Linked DNA regions of Tamandua tetradactyla. The protein of the gene in region 1 binds, or shares a complex with, the protein of each later gene. Links are inferred from orthologs where the notes say so. Each region holds a gene or a part of one and is shown in the gene's direction. Other genes may lie near its edges.

Evidence for each region.
Region 2: the proteins of TNFSF13B (region 1) and TNFRSF13C are in contact, whole or in part, in a crystal structure (PDB 1OQE), measured with the Homo sapiens proteins. The link is inferred for Tamandua tetradactyla from reciprocal best matches to the Homo sapiens genes TNFSF13B and TNFRSF13C. Residues at the interface, in NP_006564.1 of Homo sapiens: Ser162, Tyr163, Asp203, Thr205, Tyr206, Ala207, Met208, Gly209, His210, Leu211, Thr228, Arg231, Cys232, Ile233, Pro264, Arg265, Glu266, Asn267, Ala268; in NP_443177.1 of Homo sapiens: Asp26, Leu27, Leu28, Val29, Arg30, Val33, Leu37, Leu38, Arg39, Pro41, Arg42.
Region 3: the proteins of TNFSF13B (region 1) and TNFRSF17 are in contact, whole or in part, in a crystal structure (PDB 1OQD), measured with the Homo sapiens proteins. The link is inferred for Tamandua tetradactyla from reciprocal best matches to the Homo sapiens genes TNFSF13B and TNFRSF17. Residues at the interface, in NP_006564.1 of Homo sapiens: Ser162, Tyr163, Lys204, Thr205, Tyr206, Ala207, Met208, Gly209, His210, Arg231, Cys232, Ile233, Glu238, Pro264, Arg265, Glu266, Asn267; in NP_001183.2 of Homo sapiens: Tyr13, Asp15, Ser16, Leu17, Leu18, His19, Ile22, Arg27, Ser29, Ser30, Asn31, Thr32, Pro33, Pro34, Leu35.

What each region holds. Positions count from the first base shown.
Region 1 is NC_135330.1:177,864,660-177,872,250, forward strand, and holds the start of TNFSF13B (tumor necrosis factor ligand superfamily member 13B), read left to right. Parts: upstream 1-4,530; 5' UTR 4,531-4,729; coding exon 4,730-5,080; intron 5,081-5,184; coding exon 5,185-5,272; intron 5,273-7,591. UniProt on the Homo sapiens protein: Cytokine that binds to TNFRSF13B/TACI and TNFRSF17/BCMA. TNFSF13/APRIL binds to the same 2 receptors. Together, they form a 2 ligands -2 receptors pathway involved in the stimulation of B- and T-cell function and the regulation of humoral immunity.
Region 2 is NC_135333.1:35,189,899-35,197,765, reverse strand, and holds TNFRSF13C (tumor necrosis factor receptor superfamily member 13C), read left to right. Parts: upstream 1-4,996; 5' UTR 4,997-5,324; coding exon 5,325-5,661; intron 5,662-5,807; exon of another isoform or gene 5,808-5,870; intron 5,871-5,888; coding exon 5,889-6,111; intron 6,112-6,713; coding exon 6,714-6,900; 3' UTR 6,901-7,271; downstream 7,272-7,867. UniProt on the Homo sapiens protein: B-cell receptor specific for TNFSF13B/TALL1/BAFF/BLyS. Promotes the survival of mature B-cells and the B-cell response.
Region 3 is NC_135349.1:45,170,698-45,178,550, reverse strand, and holds the start of TNFRSF17 (tumor necrosis factor receptor superfamily member 17), read left to right. Parts: upstream 1-4,845; 5' UTR 4,846-5,045; coding exon 5,046-5,163; intron 5,164-5,927; coding exon 5,928-6,074; intron 6,075-7,645; coding exon 7,646-7,853. UniProt on the Homo sapiens protein: Receptor for TNFSF13B/BLyS/BAFF and TNFSF13/APRIL. Promotes B-cell survival and plays a role in the regulation of humoral immunity. Activates NF-kappa-B and JNK.

The sequences.
Region 1 (7,591 bases):
CCTAAATGAGAAAATTCTCTTCAGATTTTTCTGATGTGCTGAATTCTGCCAGGCCAGCAGGGTATCTACACAGTCTAGTTCCCAGGGGTCACAGTCCATGGCAGGCCGGTGGCACCTAACAGTGGCAGTTCAGTGCACACTCAGCATTGAGGTCTACTGTGCATGTAGGTCACTGCAGAAGCCTTTTGCAGAGAGGTATTTGCTACGACATTAAGTACCAAAAGAATACAGCTAAATTTCCATTAGTAGACAAATACCACACCATTTCTCCTTGCAATTGCAGGGAGCTTTTTAGAGTCAAATTCACAGTTAGCCTAGGCATAATAAATATCCACAGAGTCATACATACTGTGCTTTGGGGCATGAGGGGTCCTGGGTTGGTTACATGTACAACTGTTGACATTTTGTGTATAAACTGTGCTCTAATACTTATATTTTGGGCAAGCCCTGAACCCCAGGGACATAGGACTCCCAACCAACATGACTGCACTGACCAGGTCCATGGCCAATCAACTTATTTTCCCCAATTTCTAATGCTTGTGGCACAGGCAAGAGCAAGTTATGTTCATTGCCTCATTGTGGCTGTAGTACTTCTGGTTCTTCTATCTAAATTTGCAGCACCTGCATGGGCTCCTCCATTACCAATACAATAGGAGTGGGAGCAGCTGCTCAGGGCCATATTTGAGGCTGGTGAAGACCGGATACAACCTGCATGTCCTCTGCTGCAGAGATTGCCTATCATCTTTTAATTGCTCTTTAAAAAACCCATCATCCTTTCAATTAACCCTGCTACTGTGGGATTGTAAAGCGAATGAAATGTCCATAAGATGTCATGCTCAGTACTCAGGCTTGGGTTAGTTGACCAGGAACGGGAGTCCCCCATCACTGTCCACATGTGTGAGGGACCCCAAATAATGCACTGAGCTTTTCTAAATTTTCTAAAGCTATATATTGTCACTCTTTGCTTAGATTTCCCTACTGGTGAGGCCAACAGTCCAGGGGCTGTATCTATGTCTATGAAGACATATTTTGAACCTTCAGTTAAAGAAAGGGGCCCAATCTGATTTACCTGCCACCTGGTAACTGGAACCCTCCTGTGGCTAATGTGGTGGAGATGATGAAGAAGCAACTTTGGGCATCACAGCGAAGAGGAGGGGCAGGCATCTACCACTTCTTTCTGTTGTTGTCTAAAGATGGGCAGCTGGAATTGCTGTGCCAGTCTCCACAGAGTCTAGTACCTTTGGTGTCCACTCTTTCTATGCAACCATTCAACAGCCTTGTGCGATGTTGGCTTTAGGCTACAAATTTTTGCTAAACTGTCTGCTTCAATATTGCCAGGTAAAGAATCAGTGTTATCGGCAGAGACATAAAACACAGTACTTTTCCCTTATGGCAAGTACTCCAAATATCTTCCCACATTTCTTTTCCCTATAAGGGATGGCAGACGACAGGCCAGTGCTCTTGCTACCATGTGGCTGTCCTCACTGTCAGGCCCTGATACACTGCCCAATTGTCAGCACAGATAGTTCATGCATCTCCTGGCTTGTGAACAATGACTATTCATACAGCCCTTAATTCAGCCACTGGCTGTTTTTCATAGTCCCAGCTTCCCTCCATATGGTATCCATACTAGGTTGCACAGCTACTCCCTCCAGGCAGCAGACCGCCTTTGTGCTGATCCATTAGATTTAGGAATACTGCCATATCCATCAATGGTGGTCATAGAGACAGCCACTTCAGGAGGATCAGCAGGGAGAGGCAAGTGTTGTTCTTCCACATAAGAAACGAACTAGTCTCAGGATATGCATTTCTGCACTTAAGATGCTTTTGTTGAGAATGCTGTGCTGTAGCAGATAGGCTTTTCATTTCATTAGCGTGCTCAACTGTACACTGCTAGAGTGAAACTTAGTGAGAGTGTTCCGTATCCACCCCTATATGAGGATGGCTCTTCTTTATTTCACAGGACATTTCTGAGTTGATCCTTCAATTTACAGAAGGCATTATAGGCAGCACACAGTTGTTTTCTTAAGGGACAGGACCACAGTTCAGTTCTTTAACTCACTTTGCCTGTTACCTTTGCTATAAGTCCCACCCAAAGCTAATATTAGTAGTAGCCATTTCTGATTCACAAGGCATATCTGTGTCCACTCCACACAAAGTCTGAGCCAGTCTGACGGCTCATCTGACTTTTTCAAAAGTGCTGGGAGGTGTCTCATTCCCAAGGATAGCTTTTCCTAATCAAAACAAATACGGGTTTTAACTTTTGTGCTGAGTGAGGAAGAAAGGTTTCCAATATTCCAATAATCCCAAGGAAGCCACTAGTTGTTTTGGCATATGCAGCATATGAAAACATTGTACCTCATCAATTACTACTAAAGGAATAAATTTTGCCTTTTCCAGTTGTACAATACTCAAGATTTTACAGGCAGCCAAGGCATTGCAGAATACCATGATCAATTGTCCATCTCTAACTGTTAAGATGAAATAACAATAAGGCTTTTATTTTAATTCTGGAAAAGAATTACTGGTTAACATGACATCATCACATTATCAATATAATGAAATAGAGTTACATTTTTCCATTTAGCCAAATCCTTTTGCTAAGAGCTCATGGCAGATGGCCAGGCTATGTGAATAGCCATGTGGGACTACAATGACATTCCTTTGTTCTCCTTCCCAGGTGAAGATGAAAATGGATTGACTGACCTTACTTAAGGGAATACTAAAGAATTAAGTCCTAATTCCTTGTAAGTATGAGGCAAACTTTGGAAACACAGCATACAAAGGTGGAGTCACTCCACCCTTTGCCTCCCAAATTTCTTCTTTTTCCTCCTTTTCATTATCAGATAAACAATCTATGGTATCCCAGTCAGGGGAAGTCAGGATATGCCCCCTTACTCTAGCATGCCAAGATGCTAATATTTCTAACTCTTATCTACAAGACATTCAATGAATTGCATTCAATGCATCATCTCAATCTGCTGATTTCTCCAGTCCATTGCCATGGCCCCCACAGACCTGTGGATTTCTCTGACTTCCCCAAGACAGCCTGCCGTAGCTGGCCACACTGCATATGATGATCAACTGACTGCAACACAGTCAAGCAAGTGAATGACTAAAGAAGCAGTCCACTTTGGGATTAACCCCACAGATCCCCCCTTCCCCAGACTCATACTTTCTATGGCTGGCAGCTCTTTAGTCTCCTGGTTGACTCAACAAATGTTTCAGCTCTGAGTTTAATTAGGAACTTACAGACAGGAGGAAGATCTTCCCCAATGGCAAATGGTGGGGAATTGAGAGTCTGCACTCTGCCCAAAGTCAAGAGAGAAAAAGAGAGAGAGGGGTGCCCAGGAATGGCTTATGAAGTTTAACAGTCTTGCAAGATTTGGTTACAATGGAGTTTCAGCAGATGCTCCTGAGATTATATTAGGGGAGGGGTCAGACATCCTTTGACCTTTAAGGTCTGTTTAGGTCATATGGGTGGCTATGTGACTTGCTGTCAAAATAGAGGTGGAGGCAGAACCTGGGCCCTGGGTCTTTACAGCCTAGCTCAGGGCTTGGCAAGCACTCAGTAATATTTGTTGATTGGTAAATCAATATTTTGTTGCTGGGCTGGTTGCAAAGCAGCCAGAGCCCAGGATGTGGCTAAGAGTCAGTGGTCAAAGACAGGTAGGATTAAAATGGGTGGAATAGTCTGGGCAGCAACAATAAAGAGCTCTTGAAACAGAACTAGCTCTTATTTGAGTCAGGACAGGTTCCATAATCTTCAGTTTTGGCAGTCAAACTAATATGTGTGGCTAGTAGGTAAACTACCTGAGGGTAAGAACACTTGATGTGTTCCATGAGGCGTGGAAATAAGGCCAGCTTCTCCTCAACATGGTAGCAGGATGAGTTGGAATTTGAGGCTTCAGAAGCCAAATCAGGAAAGACAGGAAACAGACTCATCAGGAGGGGTTGATTACCTATCCAATGAGTCTGAACAGGAAAAAAGGTTGTGTACATTTCCTTTAGAAATGCATTCGCCCCCAATAGCCTTCCTCATACCTAATCTAAACTTGTCTCTAAAATTTAGTCACTTTCTTTTTAATACGTTGTTAAAATAATAACACCCAGCTGACTTCCATTCCTCCTTTGAGGATTCCTTTTTAAAATTTCATACTTGATAACTGTTAATAAATCACAGCTGCAACTGAGGACAAGTCAATGCTAAGGCACTTAGCTTATCTGACCTTCACATTAATTATTTTTATTACACCAGCAGGAACATTTTATGTTCTCGTTCCACTTCCCTACAAAGTCATTTGGCCTCAACTAGACACTGTTCTCTAATAATGCCTAAGGGTGAGCTCTTAACCATCTACATTATCTTAAAGCTATCTCTTGCACATGCTAATCAAAATTCAAAGTTTAGTCAGTGGATTTAAGGGGCGAATTTGTATATGATTGTTTTGAGATGCCATTAAAATTCTTACAAAAACTGAAAGTGAAATGAGGAAGACTGATTGAGCAATCCAATAGAAGGGCGAATGCCAGTAAAACCTATTGTACAGAGGGGCAGGGATGCAGAAGGGAAGAAATAAGAAAATTCAGGAGATCTCTCCTGACAGAGAGAGCCAAGCTCTGTGATGTGTTAAATGTAGGACATCAACAAACACAGATAACAGGAAATGATCCATTCCTTGTGGTCACTTATTTTAAAGGCCCTAACCTTCAAAGTTCAAGTAGTGAAATGGTTGACTCCACAGAAAAGGAGCAGTTACGACTTTCTTCTTGCCTTAAGAAAAGAGAAGAAATGAAACTTAAGGAGTTGGTGTCTATTCGCCCCCAGAAGAAAAGCTCCTCTGCCTGGTTCTCCAAAGATGGAAAGCTCCTGTCAGTGACCTTGCTTCTGACGCTGCTGTCCCTCTCCCTCACAGTGGTGTCTTTCTACAGAGTGGCCACCCTGCAAGCAGAGCTGGAGAGCCTCCGGGCGGAACTGCGATATTACCAAGCTGAGCAGCTGCCAGTCTCTCCTAAGGCAGAAGCTGGAGCCCCCACGGCAGCTTTACCGGAAACTCCAGCTTTCACCACGGGACTTGAAGTGAGTTATGGGCAGCTGCAGTTCCAGATACAATCCTTCCTAACCTGCTGCTTCTCCCCCATGCCAGCTGTCTTTTCAATAACTTGGGATTTTTCTGCCAACAGGGGATCCTTGCACCACCAGTTCCTGGAGAAAGTAACTCCAGTCAGAGTAGCAGGAGTAAACGTGGTATTCAGAGTCCAGAAGACACAGGTAAGTTTGGGGGACAAGAGCATTCAGAATTTAGCATTCAGTATCAAAGGATTACAGTGTTCACAGGTTTAGAAAATAGCAGCAACTTTAGGGGAATAGAGGTGAAATAATCTCTTGAAACCTCTTAAATAGAGACTATGAAATTTACCATCAAAATCAGACTTGGCTTTTTAGCAAAACCCTAGCAGTGGCAGTGATAAATTCAATGGGCTCCACAGCATGTTTTGGCCTCCAATGAGTTCACTTCATCTCACTACAGAATTAGACTTTGTCTACATGGGTCATAGAAAGTCATTAAAGACAAGTGTTTCCCAAGGGTGAATTTTGTGAAACCAAATGAAGATCCTAGAGTGGGAGGCTATGCTTTGCACACATATGCAGGCTTGTGAATGCGCATGCACACCCATTGATTTTCAAGTTTTTTTTTTTAGTTATGGCTTTCCAGGAATTCCATACGTTTATAATCTTCTAATAGTTTTTTCATGATTTCTGTTTTTCGTCATGTTCCACTTATTCCACAGAATTTCATAAATTCATAAAATTTTAGAGATGATAGGGATTATCAAAATAATCAATTCTAGTTCCTTCATTTCACAGATGAAGAACAGTATTTGTTTTGTATTTATTAATATTATAATCTAGGATGTTGTCCACAAATCCTTGATACTATCTTCCTTTTATATTGAAAGAGCATTTTTGAGCACCATAATATTTCATATTTTCTCTTCTGAGAAAAGATGTGAGACCTATTCAGTGGTAGGGTAGGTGCTTTTCTATAATCCACACGCACATGTGTATACACACACACAAAGTGCTTGGCCTACAAATCCATTTATTTTTCAACTATATACCTTATTTATGAAAAACCTTCTCCCCTATTTTATAAAACCATAACTTTGTTATCTGATTTTCATATCTTTATGCCAATTATCAGAAACACTTAGACTTAATAATTTTTAAACCAGGAAACAGGCATAATATTACTGCTTTAATATATCAGTTATTTTCATCTGTTTTCTACAATAATTAAAAATAGTGCTGCATATCTATTATTTTATATTTTTGTTTTTTCTTATTATACAATCTGTATTTACCCTATTTCTAAGTAATTCTCATACATGTACATTAATCTGCTATTCTACTATTTTCAACACAATTATTTCCATTTTTTGCTACAATACAGTACAATCTTGCTAAAATTTTACAGTGATCTTTTTTGTTTCTGAGTCATTAACTGCTTTATACAAATTCTGTATAGTGGAATTTCTGAATTAAATAAAATGGAAATCCTTATGACCCTTGTTATATACTGCTATGTTGCTTTCAGAATGAGTATAAATATATTTAACAAGCAAGGTGGTGTGTCTGTTTCTCTATAGTCTTACAAGCATTTTAGCTTTTAAAATCTATTTTGGCTAGATTAGTAACAGTGAAATAGTATCTCAATTTTATTTTAATTTGCTGTTTGTTTGCAAATAAAAATGAACTTCTTTCTCCATATTTTACTTCTAATTTTATCATGTTAATTTTTATCTATAACTTCTACCATTTGTCGTCCTAATTATTTATAATTTGGAATAAACTATATATTAGATGTATTAATTTTATCAAAGTTTTCATAATATTTTGCTGCTTTAAAAATTATACAGAGATTTTATATGTCTATACTTTAATGTAATAATATTTTCCTTTTATTTTTCTAATACATCAAAGCTGAAAGAATATTCTTTCAGGATCTCTTAAGTAGTCTATTCTACTTTCTGCTACTTTGAATTTCTTATAATTTAGTATTTTAGTTTAGATTTTAACTCATTAACCCTTCTGGTGCCTATTGTGATGTATCTTGACATGCTTGTTTTAAGTTCTTCATTTCTTCTTTTTTTTTCCTTCCTAAACTGTTGCTAAATAGCTCAACCAAATTTATTAAATAATTTTTAACTCCTTTTGTGTTAGGAAAGCTTACTGTGTTTTTTTAAGTTCCTCAAAATAGTCAAATCTATTTACAGACTCTCTGTTTTTGTTTCATTGATTTACTCTTCTATTTATTTGCATTAAATGAACTATTTGAAGTAATTTGTGTTATAATGGGCTCCAGTATCTCGTAGTCAGGATTCCTAGGTCTTCTTCAACCTTATCTGATACTATCCTCCTACCTCTAAATATTACATTCTAAAGATGATATAAGGCTTATCATGGCAGATTTAATAAGAAAAAAATAGTAGAGTAAGAAAACAAAACTCCCAGAGTCCCTTTTCCTCCAAATCCTCTACTAATATTTTTGTTTCATTCTAACAAATTTATATATTTTTATGTATTTGT
Region 2 (7,867 bases), on another chromosome or scaffold:
TGGGTAGAGGCCTGTGAGCCTGTCCAGAACGGTGCAGCTTGACTGAGGGAAGTCGATGAAGGCCATCCTGATGTCCCTCAGGGTGCCTAGAGCAGGCACTTGGTTCTGGGGTGGGGAGGGAGATGGAGGAGCTGGGCTTGGCTGCTGATGGGTTGAGTGACCTCAGTAGATCACACCACTGGGTCCATCTGTGAGCCTCACCTCTCCACCTGCAGAATGGGTAAGGTTCATTCCCGTCTCCCAGCTGGTTGTGAGACTTGCAGATGAAGCCATTTCTGAAACAAAGCTTTAAGCCGATGAATGACCCCTCAGGCTGGAACTGGCGCCACCTCAGGTGTCCAGGGAAGACACATCTCCCAGTGGCTGTGAGCTGGGTGGGCTTCAGTTGCCTGGGAGCTGCGGCTCCATGCTGTCATGTGAGCATGACAGGAGGCAAGTGGTAATTTGCCCACCGTGAAGTGAGGTGTCTGTGGCTGTCAGAGGGGTGGGGACTTGCCCAGAATCACAGGTTCATTCAGCCCTTCAGGCCACCTAGTGGTGGGCAGCCCTTAGGCCTGCCCAGGAGCCCAGGCCCAAGTCTGGCCCCACACCTGCCAAGGAGGTAAGGCCTTGCTAGTGGGGAGGAGGCTCCTCGGTGGCCCAGGGCTGCAGCGAGGGCAGGGGCATTCTGGCCACAGAGGGGAAGTGACACAGTGGGAAAGGAGTCTGCCCTTGAGTCCCACCAGCATGGGGTCTGCGGCAGCTCACTTCCCCTCTCGGAGCCTTAGACCGTCTCTGCCTCTGGAGGCTTCCTGGGAGGCTCGTGAGAACCTGAAGGGCCTGCCCTGCACAGGCCTGTAGGTGGGCTGGGGCTGCTCGGACTATGAGGACTGAAGTGAGCTTTGGGGGCTTCTCAAGACAGAGCTCTGCCACAGCCTGCCCACCCTCACATGCATACGGCTTCCAACATGAGGGTCCCTGCCCCACCCCAAACTCCCCTGGGGCCCAAAGGGTGTGGGCAGAGAGGTATTGTCTTACAGGCACATGGAGTCCCGAGGGGCAGAGGAGGGGTACTAGGGTGGGCATTGCAGTGGGTGCCAGGCCCTGCCCATCCTGAGACCTGAGTCCACCTCCCACCAGGACTGAGAGGAAGAGCATGGTTGGTCCCCAGTGTCCCTGACCTGGGTGGGAGGGAGCTTTCCTCAGGGCCACCCTCTCAGGCCAAGGGCTAACGGTGGGTGCCTGGTCTGATGCATACCAGCCCAAAGGGGGTCCCCAGAACTCACTCTGCTTCTAACGTGCTCGGCCTCAGGCCAGTATCACTGAACCCATCCAGACAGGAAGAAGGTCCCCATGGGTGCATGGGGCGGGGTAGGGGGCTTTGAAGCCTGTGCAGGTCCCTTATTCTCTGAGCCTGCTTGCCTCCTAGGAGATAGGAAGAGCAGTGCCACCTTCCCTGTCTGCACGGCTCTGGGACTTGGGGTCATGTGAGATCAGAAAGGGGATGCCGTCCCCTCAGCCTTTCAGCAGCAGGAAGTGGGCCCCCTGGGAACCAGTCCTAGCAGGTGTGTCGAGGGGTGAGGCCACGGTGGGGAGGGGGTAGGCCTGGGAGGTGTGTGGGCTGCTGTCCCCCACCCCCACCCGGAGTGCTGCAGCTTCCCAGGGGGTGCCCCTCCCTCAGGGCTCCCCACAGGAGCTTTCCCTCTGTCTGTCTGCCCCATGTCGCCTTCTCCACAGGCCTTCCCTGACACCCTGGCCCTCCCTATACCCTTCCCTCCTGAATTTTTCCCTTTGGCACTTCACATCTCCTCACACACTATATTGGTTTATTTATTCGTTTTTTTTTTTTTCACTCCTGTCGTTTGCTGCTGTATCCTTAGGACCTGGAGTACTGCTTGGTACCTAGCAGGGGCTACATGGGGATTTGGTGGTGAATGGGGGGTGTCTGCAGGAAGCCCAGAACCTCTGACTCCTTGGTCCCTCCTTTGTGGAGCCCAGAGGGAAAGGTAGCTCTCAGGAGGCTGAGGGGATGGCATCCCCTTTCTGACCTCACACGACCCTGGTCCCAGGGCTGCGCAAAGAGAATCCCATGGAGTGCAAGTGTGTGCCGAGGGAGACCTGGGGCAGACGGGTCAGTGGCTTGGGGCCTGGCAGGGGTTCATGACTTCGCGTGAAGTGGCATTACCCCCCTTGCTAGTTCGGGTTCAGAAGAGGAAAGGGTACAGTGGGGGCCTCACTGGCAGCTGCTATGCTGCTGGCCCTCTGCTCAGACCCCACCAGGGCCTTGTACTGCTTCCCGGGCTACCCACCCCCCCCACTCCCAGTACATCCTTCCTGCTGTCCCAGGTGGTGGGGATGGTCCCATAGAGCCCTTGTTTGTCAGAACTAAAGCCCATGAGCAGTGTCCGAGCTGCTGCTGCAAAATGAAATGGGGCTGTGAGGCCAGATGTGGGACTCTCCTCGGGGACCTAGAGGTGGGGGCCGGGGAAAGCCAGTAAAGAAAATTCACACGCACAACCCCTTTCGTGAAACACACAAAACCCATCCATGAGGACCCAAGGGCACAAAGCAGGCCCGGGATGAAAGGCCCCGAAGCGAAAGCAGAGGCCTCCCGGGAGGGCAGGGAAAGGCCCCTGTCACTCAGGAGTCAGGTTTTGTTTGAGGGTTTTTTTCGTGAGAACATGTTCAGATACCACTCACATGGTTGTGAATAAAACTCATTTTTAAGCACAGAGCATCCCGGGTCCCAGAGCCCTTTCACATCTAGATCTGGCGACCCTACCCCAGGGACAGCCCCGAGGCCAAATGGTGCCACACCTCCCACCTGCCTCCCCAGCCCCAAGCATGGGGCACAGGCCACATGTCAGCCAAGGGGCCCCAGACTCAGCCAGGCCCCCTGCCCATGTGTGCTGGGGTGTGCTGGAGAAATGGGCTCAAATAGCACCTGTGTGAGAACCATTGTGGGGGGTGGGGGGCACAGGGGGTGTTCGTGGGGACAAAGGTCAAGGGACACTGACAGGGCCAAAATTAGTCATCGTTTTAAAAAATGAGTGAGAAGCTGAGAGACAGGTTCAATTCGAAGGGTTTTTTTAGCAACAAAGTCCCATAGTTTGTACTCCTTGGATTGGGGAATCAGCAGCCGTTTGCCAACCGGCCAGTCTGAGGGCGGAATGTATGCCTGATGCCTGAACTGTGCGGGCAGGAGCTGAGGCTGGCAGCCCCCTCTCCGTCACGCACCCTGCTTAGGAGGTGAAACTGGGTGTCTGTTCGGGTCCAGCCTGCAGCACCCCTGAGCGTCTCCATCGCCTGGGCCTGTGCAGCACGTCTCAGGCGCATGACAACCATTGGTGTCCAACGGGTCATCACACCTCCGTCCTCCACGCGGCCCACGCCCTTTCTCCGGCCACAAGCATAGTGAATGGTGAGTTCCGGCCGTGCCTCCTCTCGTTTGAGGCCGTGCAGGCCAGCTCCCCTGTTCTCTGTGGCAAGGCTCAGAGCACCATGGGGAGACTCTCCCCTGTCCCTATAACAGACTCCATGCTCCTGGGCTCCCACTGTGCAGCCTGCCTCTGCCTGAGGGTCTGGCCTGGGGGTCAAGCGAGATGTTGAGTGGGGAAAAAATGCAGCCCCCAGGACAAAGCAAAGACTGACAAAGCGATAAAGTGGCACCCGAAGTGGTGGTGGTGTGTGGCCCAGTCTTCTTGCCCCCCACCCTCCCTGCTTCCCGGCCCCGGCTGCTCTCCCCACCCCCTCACCACCCACCCACACCCACACCCACCACCCCAGACCCACTTCTCCTTTGCAGCTGCCCCACCGCCTACACCTTCCTGCCCTGGAGTTGCTGGCGCGTGGACAGGGGATGGAGAGGCAGTGGGCCAGGACCCTCCACGGCTGGCAGATGGGAGGCTCTGAGTGGGATTCTGGTGGCCCCCCAAACCATGAACCTGGGGACCAGCCTTGCTCTTCTCACTCCATGGCCAGTCACGTCGGTCCTTCCTGCTAAACAACCACTGGGTCATACCCCTGCCCTGGACCACCGTGTCCGCCTCCTCACTGCTCTGCTTGCCCCATCCGCCCTCCTGCTCCCTGGCAGCCAGAGACGGCCCCTTCTAGAGCACGACTTGGATGAGTCCCTCTGCCACTCTAGCACCCCAGGCTCCTCACTCTGGGTCTGACTCCACCCAGCTCAGCACCCTCCCTCCTGAAGCAGTGACCATGCGGTTCCCAGACTGTCCTTCCCCTGTCACTTCTCCATGCTGTTGCCCATGCCGATCTTTCTGCCTGGAATATTTCCCTCTGGCCTTGCAGCTGCCAAGGGCATGCTTACTCCTTCTGCCTCCCAAGCCTCCTCCATGTCCCGGATGGTCACGCCCTCCTCTGAGCTCTGCCAGCTCTGGGTCCACTAGGAGTTCCCTGAAGCTGTCTGCCTTCCTCTGTGTCTGCTGCCCTCCAGGGATGGGGCAGGGGCTGGAAGAAACTCTTGGGTTTTTGTGTGCATGCGTGCGTGCGTGCGTGCGTGCGTGTGTGTGTGTGTGTGCAGGCCAGGGCACATGCAGCCCTGGGAAAAGGGGTCAGGGTGGGCAGGTCACCTGATGGGCCTTGGTCTGTCTGTTCATCTGTTGGTCTGAGTCTCCCTCCTGCTTAGGATCTGGGGACTAGGCTGTCCCTGGATAACTGGCTGCCCTCTCCACCTCCATATGTCCCCTCTGCTTCAGAAAACAGCTCCTTGCTAACATGCAAATCGGTGACACTCTCTGCTTAAAGCCCTGCATTGTTCCCCAGTGCCTTAGGGCCATAGGCCAAGCCCCTTAACCCTCCATTTAGGCCCCAGACCAGGCCTCTGGTCCCTGGTTTTCCTACTCTTGCCTCCAGGACTTTGCTCACAGTGGATGAGAATGCGCCCCTAGACCTCAGTCCATCTGGCAAATGCCTCCTCCTCACTTCCTCCTTGAAGACTTCCTGCCCCCACCCCACCCCACCCCACCCCCCCACCCCACCCCCCCCCCCGCCCCGTGGTGATGACCTGCACTGAGGCCATTGTCTGGAACCTACCAACCCAATCACCACCACCCTGTCCCTCTGGGCAGGCCTGTCCGTCTCTGCTCCATGTCGCCACCACTGGGCTTGGAGCTTGGTACAGTGTGGGCACTGAGGAAGGGCTCTCCAGAGGAGGGGTCATTGGACAGGCTGGATGGGGGGAGAGGGCCGGCCTTGGGGAGGCCAGGGAGAGGAGGCCACCCAGACATCAGGGTTCTTCCTGCAGACGTTGCTTTCACTACCCATGAGCAGGTCCTTGGCTGAGCCCAGCCCTGTCCCAGGGCCCAGGCGAGGGCCCCCAGCAGGTAATGGTTGAGTGGCTGACTGGAGGAAGGACCGGCAGAAAGAGGCAGCCTGGGGTGCTGGGCCTCGGGGCCGGGCAAGAGCCGTCTCACCCCAGCAGGCGGAGGCGGGGCCGGGGCGGGCTGGGCAGGCGGCCCCTCCCAGTTTCCTCCCCGAGGGGCTGCGGAGTCCAGACCCAGTCTCAGCTGCGGGCCGGCCGCAACATGGGCCAGGGGCGAGAAGCATGGGGGTCAGGGACAGGCCCGCGCCTCTCCAGTGCGGTCCCGCCGGCCGAGTGCTTCGACCCACTGCTCCGCACCTGCGTGTCCTGCAGGCTCTTCCGGACGCCCGATCCCAGGCCGGGTAAGTGGCGCCCCGTGGGTGGATGGGAGGCCCGTGGGCAGGGAGCTGCCCGGGGACCAGCCATCAGCGCGTGGCCCTCACCGGCCCTCTCTCCCCCCTCCCCCGTGCCCACCCCCGCCCCGGCTGACCCTCCCCCGCCGGCCCAGCCTCGCCTCCCGCCCGCCGGCCCCCTCCCCGGCCGTTCCTCGCAGGCGCCCCCTGTCCCCCCTCCCCGCCCCCTCCCCCAGCGGGGATGAGCAGCCTGGCGCCCAGGACGGCGCTGCAGCCGCAGGAGTCGGTGGGCGCGGGGGCCCGGCCCGAGGGCGCGAAGCCGCTCCCGGGGCTCCTCTTCGGCGCCCCGGCGCTGCTGGGCCTGGCGCTGGCGCTGCTCCTGGTGGGCCTGGTGAGCTGGAGGCTGCGGCGGCGGCTGCGCGGGGCCGCGTCCCCCGAGGCCGTGGACCTAGACCCAGAGGGTGAGTGGGCATCAGAGGGAAAGAAGAGGCACTGCCCAGTCCCAGAGAGGCCGCAGGGCCTGGCGTGGGGACAGTGTGGGGGAGAAGACATGGCCTGGGGGATCGCAGCAGTGTGAAGGGGGAGACACGGCCCTGGGGTCGGGGTAGGGGCAGGGGCCTGAAGAGGGAGGCAGGGCTGTGAGCGGGGAAAGACCTCAGGCTGAGAGGGGAGGCAGAGTCCACGTGAGGGCCACAGCTCTGCTCTCCCCAGCCCCAGTCCCAGGAAGGACACACAAATGGGGAGCCAGCCTGAGGGAGGAGTCCATCCCCCCTTCTGGGAGACCCAGGGGTCCTGGACCCAACATAAATCTTGGGGATGGCCGGACCCATCTCATGTCTCCCTCCATCAGCATTCCCCATCTTCTCAGCCTCCTGGGCTCACCCCACACTCAGCACTTCCTGTCCTAAGGGCCTATCACATGCCACCCTCCCCACCCCCTACCCCCACTGGGGCTTCAGTGACTTATCTCTCTGGTCTGAGGGCTGCCCCCAAAGGAAGCTTCCAGAACAAGGAGAGGGGGAGGCTGTGACACCATCTTGACTTCCATCCCCCACCCTCTCCTGCCCAGAGCCTCTGGACGATGTCAGCACCCTCTCCTCTGGACCCCCGGCAGCCACAGCTCCTGTCTGGCCTCCTCCCAAAGATCCAGCCGCCATGCCACCTGGCCACAGCATCCCTGTGCCAGCCATGGAGCTGGGATCCACGGAGCTGGTGACCACCAAGTCAGCTGGCCCTGAGCAGCCGTAGTGATGGAGGGGGCAGGAGGTGGCTTATGCCCTCCCTGGGGACCTCCACCCCGGGGCTTGGAAGTTGAATTGGGCTCTTCACCTCAGCACCCACCTGCCCCTTTCCTGGGAGCCGGGCTTCTCCCCAGCAGATCCTGCAGACCCAGGGACTGCAGCCCACAGTGCTCAGCCCACAGGGCATTGTTCGGCATGTTGCTTTTGACTCAAAGCCATACCATCTTCAATGGCCTTCAAAGGTTCTATCTGGGCTCTTGTGCTTTTGAATGATTGGAGCACCATGAGTGAGAGGTGTTTCCTTCAGAGTGGAAAAGCCGCCGTTAAGCCAGAATGCATCTGGATAAAGGATAAAGCCGGAGGCTGCTGTATTTGTAACCCAGTGTTGTGTTTCTTTAGTACTTGCTCTTAGAGCTGTCCTGCCTCTCAACTGATGCAAATGGTGGCAGTGAGTAACCAGTGAATGAACTTGCTTTGAGATTTAGGCCAAGATCATTTTTGTAAGGAGGAGATGTGGTGATTTTATAAGGAGGAGACTGTGCTGATTCTCAGGTATCTGTGTCTCTGGGCCCAGGTCCACCCTAAACTTTGCCCGACCTGCTGGGACCTAAAATGCCATTTTCATCCTGGAGGCAGCTTCCAGAACCACAGGCCTGTACCTCAGTGGAGGTCTACAGCCTCAAGGCTGGGCTTGCAAAGTCAAGCGGAAGGACACTGGCAGACATCTCCCTCAGACACCACTCTGGGGTTCCAGCTGCCTCCAGGGTGCATCACACCGAGCTGAACACAGGAGGGTCCTTTGCACAGACATGTGCAAAGGACAGGCCTATGGCCTTCAACCTGCAGGACCCAGTGTCCCCAAGCACCCTTCTCTCTGTGGCCCATCCTCCCCAAGCACTGGACCCTGAGTGCTGGGGTTGCCCGGCTGTTTCATGCCAGCACCTAGGGTCACCCACCATTCTAGAGGAAGCTGC
Region 3 (7,853 bases), on another chromosome or scaffold:
CACACCAGCCATACTATAAAAGGGGAACTAGCATTTGCCTGCAACTCATTATCAAAGTATTAAACCTTTGCGGTAACCCATTTCTCAAACTCCCACCCATCCTGCTCTCCAGTCTCGCACTCTTCCATTTTTTTGCTGCATCTTTCCCTGCCATTCCAGTACTCAATGCTTAATGTTGTTTTCCTGGCTTGGGTTTTGAAGATGACCTTGGTTTACCCTTGAGTCTCTCTCTGATTATGCTACCTCCGCCAGCCTTAGGCAAGCACCCTTTCCCAGAGATTGATGGACTCTGAACTTCCTGTTAATAATCACAAATTAGATACCATTTGCTGAGTGCTTCCTCTGGCTGGGAACTATCCTCAGTGCTTTCCATAAATCCATGTGAGTTAATCCTCACAACAATCCCAGGAGGTTGGAAGTATAATCTTTCATATTGACACAGGTGAGGAAACTGAGGCTCAGAGAGGTTAAGTCACTTGCTCAAGATGACACTGGTTCCACTGTGGTGAAGCTGGGATTCGGACTTTTCTGACCCCCAAACTTGCACTTTTACCGTAGTGCCAAGCCAGTTTGTGAGCAAGACCTGAACTGTCCTGCCTCGATATTCGAACTATGGGTTCAAAACAAGGTTGAAGAGTTGGTATCAGTCAGGGTTTGGTCAGGGGAGTAGAGTTGTCATGATTGTTACAGGAGAAGGGACGTAGTATAGGAATTAGACCTTTCCTTATCATGGGAGGAGCTGGGGAGATGAAGATCTGGGACAGGAAGTCTTTTTGACTCAGCAGGTCAGCAGGGCTAGGACAGGAGGTGGGTGCTGCACCAAGGAAAATGAGGACAAGCAGGAACCCTCTGAGCATCTCTGCAACCATTCACCATTGTATACAACAATGATGACCTTCAGAGAGTAGGGACTGCGGCTTCATATCTGCCTTTGAAATCTCATACATATTCCTCTTTTGACCAACTCTATCATGGACCCATAAGGAGAAGGGGATTCTGGGAATCTCCAGGGTAGCCAACTTGATATAGCCCACTGCAGTGCCGAGGTTTAATCAATAATTCAAGAGAAGACAAGGATTGGATGTGTAGTCAAGGGCCTAGATGTCTGTTTCCAAGTGAAAAGGTCTACAAAGTTCCTTGGGAGAAAGTTTATACTTCTGGTGTGGAGTTAAGAGCTAAGGGTCAAAGTGTTCTGTGAAAACTTGCCTGTGGTTTAGTAATTTTGGGGAAAAAATGTTGTAGTTGGATGGAATCTTCCTCAGAGCATGCTACCGATGGCTTTGGAAGCTTGAGGCAACAATTCCTTGCTTCCTTAGAGCTGTGAGTGAGTGCCGAAGCCTGGGCCTGACTCGGGAATTGGTTTTCCTTTCTTTGTTCTTTCTGTGTAGAGCAAGGCCAGATACAGCACTCTTTTGGCAGTTATTATACACCAATGCTCCCTATCATGAAACTACTAAAAATCCTTGCTTTAAAATCATAGGCTCCTGGGTTAGACTCCCTGCCCATGCGCTTCCCAAAATGAACAAACAAACAAACAAAAGCAAGCAAGCAAGCAAAGAATTCAACAAATGGTGCTGCAGTAATAGGATACTCACATGGAAAAAGAATGAAATGTGACCCCTGCCATACAGCATACAAAAAAAAAAAAAAAAAAAAGCACCAGTCTTTTGGAGCTGGAAGGAATTGTGTAGATAATTTAGCTTCATTTTGCAAATTGTGTTCCACCAAAACATATATTTCTAAATGTTCATAGATGGTCCTGGAAAAAGGACCAGTAGGTTTGATGAAGGCAGCATACAATATATACTTCTTGGGGAATCCAAATGTACTTTAATATATTAAAGTTTGAAATGCCTATTAGATTTCTAGGTAAAAACATCAACTAGGCAGTTGGTATATGAGTCTGGATTTCAAAGGCAAGATTATTGTTGATGTATAGATCTTGGAGTTAACATATCTAAAACCCTGGGAGCTGATGAGATTACTAAGGAGAGAGCTTAGAAGAAATGGGAGAGTAGGCAAGGTCTGGAAAGATAGTAGCTCTTTTGTGCCCATGAGGGGAGGTCCTGAGAATGGAGCCAAGATGCAGAAGATGGTGTTGCTGCGCCAAATGACAGAAAGAAACCAGGACACAGTTGGACATAGAAAGAAAGAAAGAAGGAAGGATGCAAGTGTCTTGTTCCTTTCACTACATTTTCCTCCTCCAAGCTCTCCACCCTTAAAAAAGAGATTATTAAAAAAAAAAAGCATTTAACATAAGCTTCCCACCCTTAAAAGAGTAACTACTATCAGCCTCCTGTGGATCTTTCTAGATGTGACCTATATATATGTCTGTACATACATACCCTTCCCATTTTGCTTGTAAACATAGGCAAGCATATTACACACACCGTTCAGTCCCCTGCATTTTTCACTTAGCAATGTTTCTTTTGTAGCAGACCCTATCTGGCTCATTCTTTTTGATGGATGTATGGTATTCCACTATGAAGCCCCTTCTGATGGGTATTTAGATTGCTCCAGGCTTTTGTGAGTGCATTGGTGCTGCAGTGACCATCCTTGCACTTGTGTCCTCAGGCAACCAGGCAAGAACATCCACCAGGCACAATGGCAGTGGTGCTTCTTTCCAAACAGCCATCACAGCTGTTGATCCCTGTTTCCACCACACTTTCAGGCATGGTTCACATTGGCTTTCACCTCTTTCTGCCACCCCTTAAATACCTACAACTTGGATTGCACCTTCTGGCACTGTGCTCTCAAAGGCCGCCAATGACTTCCTTCCTTTTCCCACTGCCTTTGACTTTTCTGTAGAGTTGGACCCCACTCCCAACCCATGCAGAAGCTCTCTCCTTGCCTGGTGGGTATGTGAGATTGTCACTGACCTCTTTCCACTGCTCTGCTCCTGCTAGCCCTGGATCCTTTGTCTGTCTTTCAAAAGGTTGATTTGGACAGCTTAAGTAGTAGAACCTGCCAGGCCAGCTCCAACTCCCCATTGCCCCACTCAGCCAGCCTCATTCATTTACCTCACTGCTTCACCTCCCAGGGGAATCTGAGTTCTTGATCAATACCTAAGTCCAAACTCTTTTCTCAAGTCCTATATTTTAGAAATTAATTGTTTCTGAATCCTGCATTTTATTATATGGTAACTATTTAAAGTTTTATTATGCAAAATTTTAAAAATACAAAAAGTTATAAAGAATGCAAAAAAATACAACAAAGGACAATACCACAAATACCCATGTATTCATCATTCAGCTTAAAAAATAAAATACTAACAAATTCGGTGAAGCCATTTTGGGCCTTACTCCAGAGATAATCATTATACTGAACTTGGAATTTGTCATTTCCCTACGTATTATGAAAAAAATTGGTAACACATATAATGTCAAATTTGCTATTTTAACCATTTTTAAGTATACAATTCAGTGGCATTAACTACTTGTACAATGTTGTGCTATTATCACCACCTTCCATTATTAAAACTTTTTCATCACCTGAAACAGAAACTCTGTACCCATTAAGTATTAACTCCCCATTCCCCTTTGCCCCCAGTTCCTGGCAACCTCTAATCTACTTTCTGTCCCTCTGAATTTCCTTAGATATTTCAAAGTGGAAATATCTAGACAAAATTATATTGCACGATACAATACAATATGTGCCCTCTTGTGTTTGCTTTATTTCACTTGGCATGATGTTTTCAGGTTTCATCCATGTAGTAACGTGCATCAAAACTCAGTTACTTTTTTTTGTATGCTGTATGGTGGGGGTCACATTTCATTCTTTTCCATGTGACTATCCTGTTATTGCAGAACCGTTTGTTGAATTTTTTCTTGCAGGGGCAAGTGCACACACTGGGAATCGAGCCCAGATATCCTGCATGGCAGGCGAAAATTCTACCACTGAACTACCCTTGCACTCCACTTGATTACTTTTTATGGCTGAATAGTCTTCCACTGAGCCGTGCATCTCCGATTACCTTCTGGACATGTCTACACGGATATCTCACTTTGTACGGTTAAACGCAAACTCAAGTTTACCTTTATGTAGAAAGGAAATATACATTATCTTAGCCTACATATGTAGAGAAAACCTTCCAGAAAGATATGTGTCAGAAGTTAGCAAAGCAAACAGACCAACCAACAAACAAAAGAGTCCCACATCATTAGCTCTGTTTCCAACCTCTGCGTTACATGAAAATGTTCACAGTAATTATTTCTGGGTGGCAGGACTACGGCTGGGCTGTCTGTCTGTTCCTCTATGTAGATGTACATACTGAGGTTTCCTCTGGAAACATGTCTCTTTGACTAAAGTTAGCCCATTGATTAAATGTCTGACTTTTCAACAATGGCATGCGGATTACTTAAACAACAACAGTAATTATAATAATACCCCAAAGCTATCTTCTTCCCAACCCTCTTGTCAATTCATTCTTACTCCAGATTTTCCCGTTTACACCAGCGGTACTGCAGTTTTCCCTAAAAGCTTTTGGTCATATGTGATATCCCTATTCCCCTCTCACATTCTGTTACTACCCTGCTCTGTGGTTCCTTGGGAGTATTTCCTATTTCCCCTGTTAGTTTTTAAATTCTTAAGGGGCATCATCCTTGCTTTATTATCTCCCCAAGAACCCTCACAAAGCATCTCATAAACTTCATAAATGGTTATTGAACCTTCTGCTCCATGCCCCAGGCTTGTCTGCATCTTGCAACTGTCACCTGGGTGAGAAATTTCTGCTATAAATAGGCAGTTTCTGTTTCAAGTATGGTTTGCCCTTGATATTTACATCCCATTTCCTACTCAACCCAAGCCTCAAACACAAAAATTTGAATTAGAGTTGGTACTCAAATTCTTTGTTGAGGTACAAGGAAACAGGACCCTTTAAGAACCAATTAAGCAATGTTGTGGAGTTTTTTTTTTTTTTTTTTTTTACCTTCAATATTCTAGTTGCTGTCACTACATTTGCTAGGGAATTCCTGACAAGGATTTACTTATCCTTCTGTGCTGTAATTTCTGCAGTTCCCTTGTTTCTTTTTGCGATCAAGTTCCAGATGGCTCAGCAGTGCTTCCAAAATGAGTATTTTGACAGTTTGCTTCGTGCTTGCAAACCGTGTCACCTCCGATGTTCTAATACCCCTCCTCTATCGTGCCAGCGTTATTGTAATGCAGGTAAGTAATAATTTCTTGAACAATTATTCATGGACATGAAGTACTCTTTCTATATCACCAATTATCCAAAAAGTAGATATTCCAGGGAAGATGGTGAGATTTTCTGAATCAGAGAAAGGGGGGAAAAAGGCAATGATTTAAATGCCTATAGGAGTAAAGTAATTATTTAGAACCTAACTTAATTTTATTCATCACTATTAGCAACACAGATTTTTGTCAACTCTTCTAATTAAGTATTATTTGTTTTGTAAAAGTCGATGCGGAGCTCAATAAGAAGGAATGGACTATTCACTATATGTGAATCAGCAGGAGTGAATTTCAAAATAGGTATGTCCAGTGAAAGAAGCTAGGTTAAAAAAAAAGCACATACTATACGACTACATATACATAAAATTCCTGAAAATGCAAACTAGTCTATTGTGACAGCCAGATCAATGGTTGCTTAGGGTAGGGTAGGGGAGCAAGCACCACGGGAGGGAGCGATGATAAAGGGGCATGAGATAACTTTGGGGAGTGATGGATATTTCATTATCGTGATTGTGGGGAAGGTTTTGCAGGTATGTATCCAATGTCAAAACGTATCAAATCGTGCACTTTAAATACATGCAGTTGATTGCATTTCAATTATATCTCAAAAAGGTATTTTTTAAGTACATAGGAAAAAAAGTCAGTGTTGGTAAATTATGAGAGTTGAACGACAATCTGTAATCAATGTGAATGTTATGTTATCAGTGCATTATCTGTCTGACATTCTTTTAATAAAGGTGTGACCAGTTCAGTGAAGGGAACAAATGCGATTCTCTGGACCTGCTTGGCAGTGGGCTTGATACTTTGTTTGGCATTTTTCGTGCTAATGTTCTTGCTAAAGAAGATGAGCGCTGAACAATTAAACAACAATTTTAAAAACACAGGTTGGTTTCATGGTAAATCTTTGAAATCTGTTTTGAAGAGGTGGTTATTTCAAGTTTCAGTTTCTTTTCTATTTTAACATTGAGTATTTCATTCAGTTAGAGTGCAACGGTGGCTCAGTGGCAGAATTCTCGCCTGCCATGCCAGAGACTGGGGCTCGATTCCCAGAGCCTGCCCTTGTCAAAAAAAAAAAAAAAAAAAAAAAAAAAAAAGGTGTTAGAGGACAGGCAGACTAAATAAACTCCTCAGTAGAAGCCAGCTGCCTTCATTCTGGTGTTGATACCTCGGTTGCAAGTCTCCTACAATGTCAGCCTTTCCTCAGAAATTACTAAAATATTGAGGCGTCCTCTGGAAACATCTGTCTCTTTGACTAAAGTTAGCCCATTGATTAAATGTCATAGTATCAAAAAGTGCTACCCAGATCTGGTAATACCAGGAAAAGTATATTTGGCAAGACTCATGGCTGTGTTTTCAATACAAATGTTAAGTGTTTTTTTCTTGGGAGAAAACAATTATATTGAAAAATGCTAAAATGAATATTATTCCTGGATTATTTGAGCAATCATCTAGGAAAATAATTGACTTTATTAAGCAGAGGAGACTTAATTCAAGAGAAGTGAATGTTCTACTAAAGGACTGAAGATAAAAATATATCTGCAGCACCTTTGCTTGTGATCTGATTCCCAAACACTTGCCAGCAATTGCCCTATTTTCTTACGAATTTAAATTCCACGCATAATCTGTAAAGCATGTATCTCATTTGCTTTCTGCGGCAAAAAGCAGTAAATGGCTGATCCACATTTGCCTCATTTATTCATTTTTCTTTTCTTTTCCTGGGGTCTGGTAGACAGGTAGGGAGTGACTTTAAGTGTAATTTTTTGGGAAGATGTTACACTGCAGAATGTCGGGAAGTAGTAAACCAGCTTCACAGGTGTCTAATGGGGACATAATGGAGACTCCTTCCTTGTGGGATCACAAGAAATTCACTTAAAAAATATAACCAGCTGAAAAATGCTCTGTTGAAGTGTCTTTACTTCTGAATTCTAAAGTGCTACCCACTGGCTGATTTTGGTGGGCTGCACATACGGTGATTACTGTCAATTTTTAAGAGCTCAAGATGGGGTCAAAACTTCAAAGGGCCATGTGGGTGGCAAATGAGAGTAGTGGACCAGGTAGAGGGCCTGGCACCAGGGGCTGAGCCTTGGCTAAAGGCCACAGCGGCTCTTGATTTCAACCAATTGTTTCCACCTAGAAAATCTGTCTCCATGTTGTCACATTTTTTTGTCTTTTTAAAGAGACTCCTGCAATCTGGATTTGTATGCAAAATCTCTTGTTTTTTAAATGTGAGCCAACATAAAACAACAACACACACTCAAAAATACTTATAGTCCAAACAAAGCAATGCCGTTTAAATATACGTGGCAAGTCATCTGTTAGGTTGTGACTTTCAATGTAGGATGTACTCGTTCTTGTATGAAAAGATCTGGTTTTGAGTCCTGATGTGCACTGCTAAGACTGTCATGACCACATCCCTTGGGAAATTAGTTTAATGTTTCTGTTTTTGTGTACTCAGGATCAGCTCTCCCAGAGGTAGTTAAGGCTGAGCCGGCCAACAGCAAGTCTGGTACTCAAGTTATTGTTCCGAGAGGCCTGGGGTACACCGTGGAAGAATGCACCTGTGAAGACTGTGCTAGGAGCAAACCAAAGATTGATTCTGACCATCTCTTTCCTCTCCCAGCCATGGAGGAAGGTGCCACTCTTCTTGTCACCACCAAAACGAA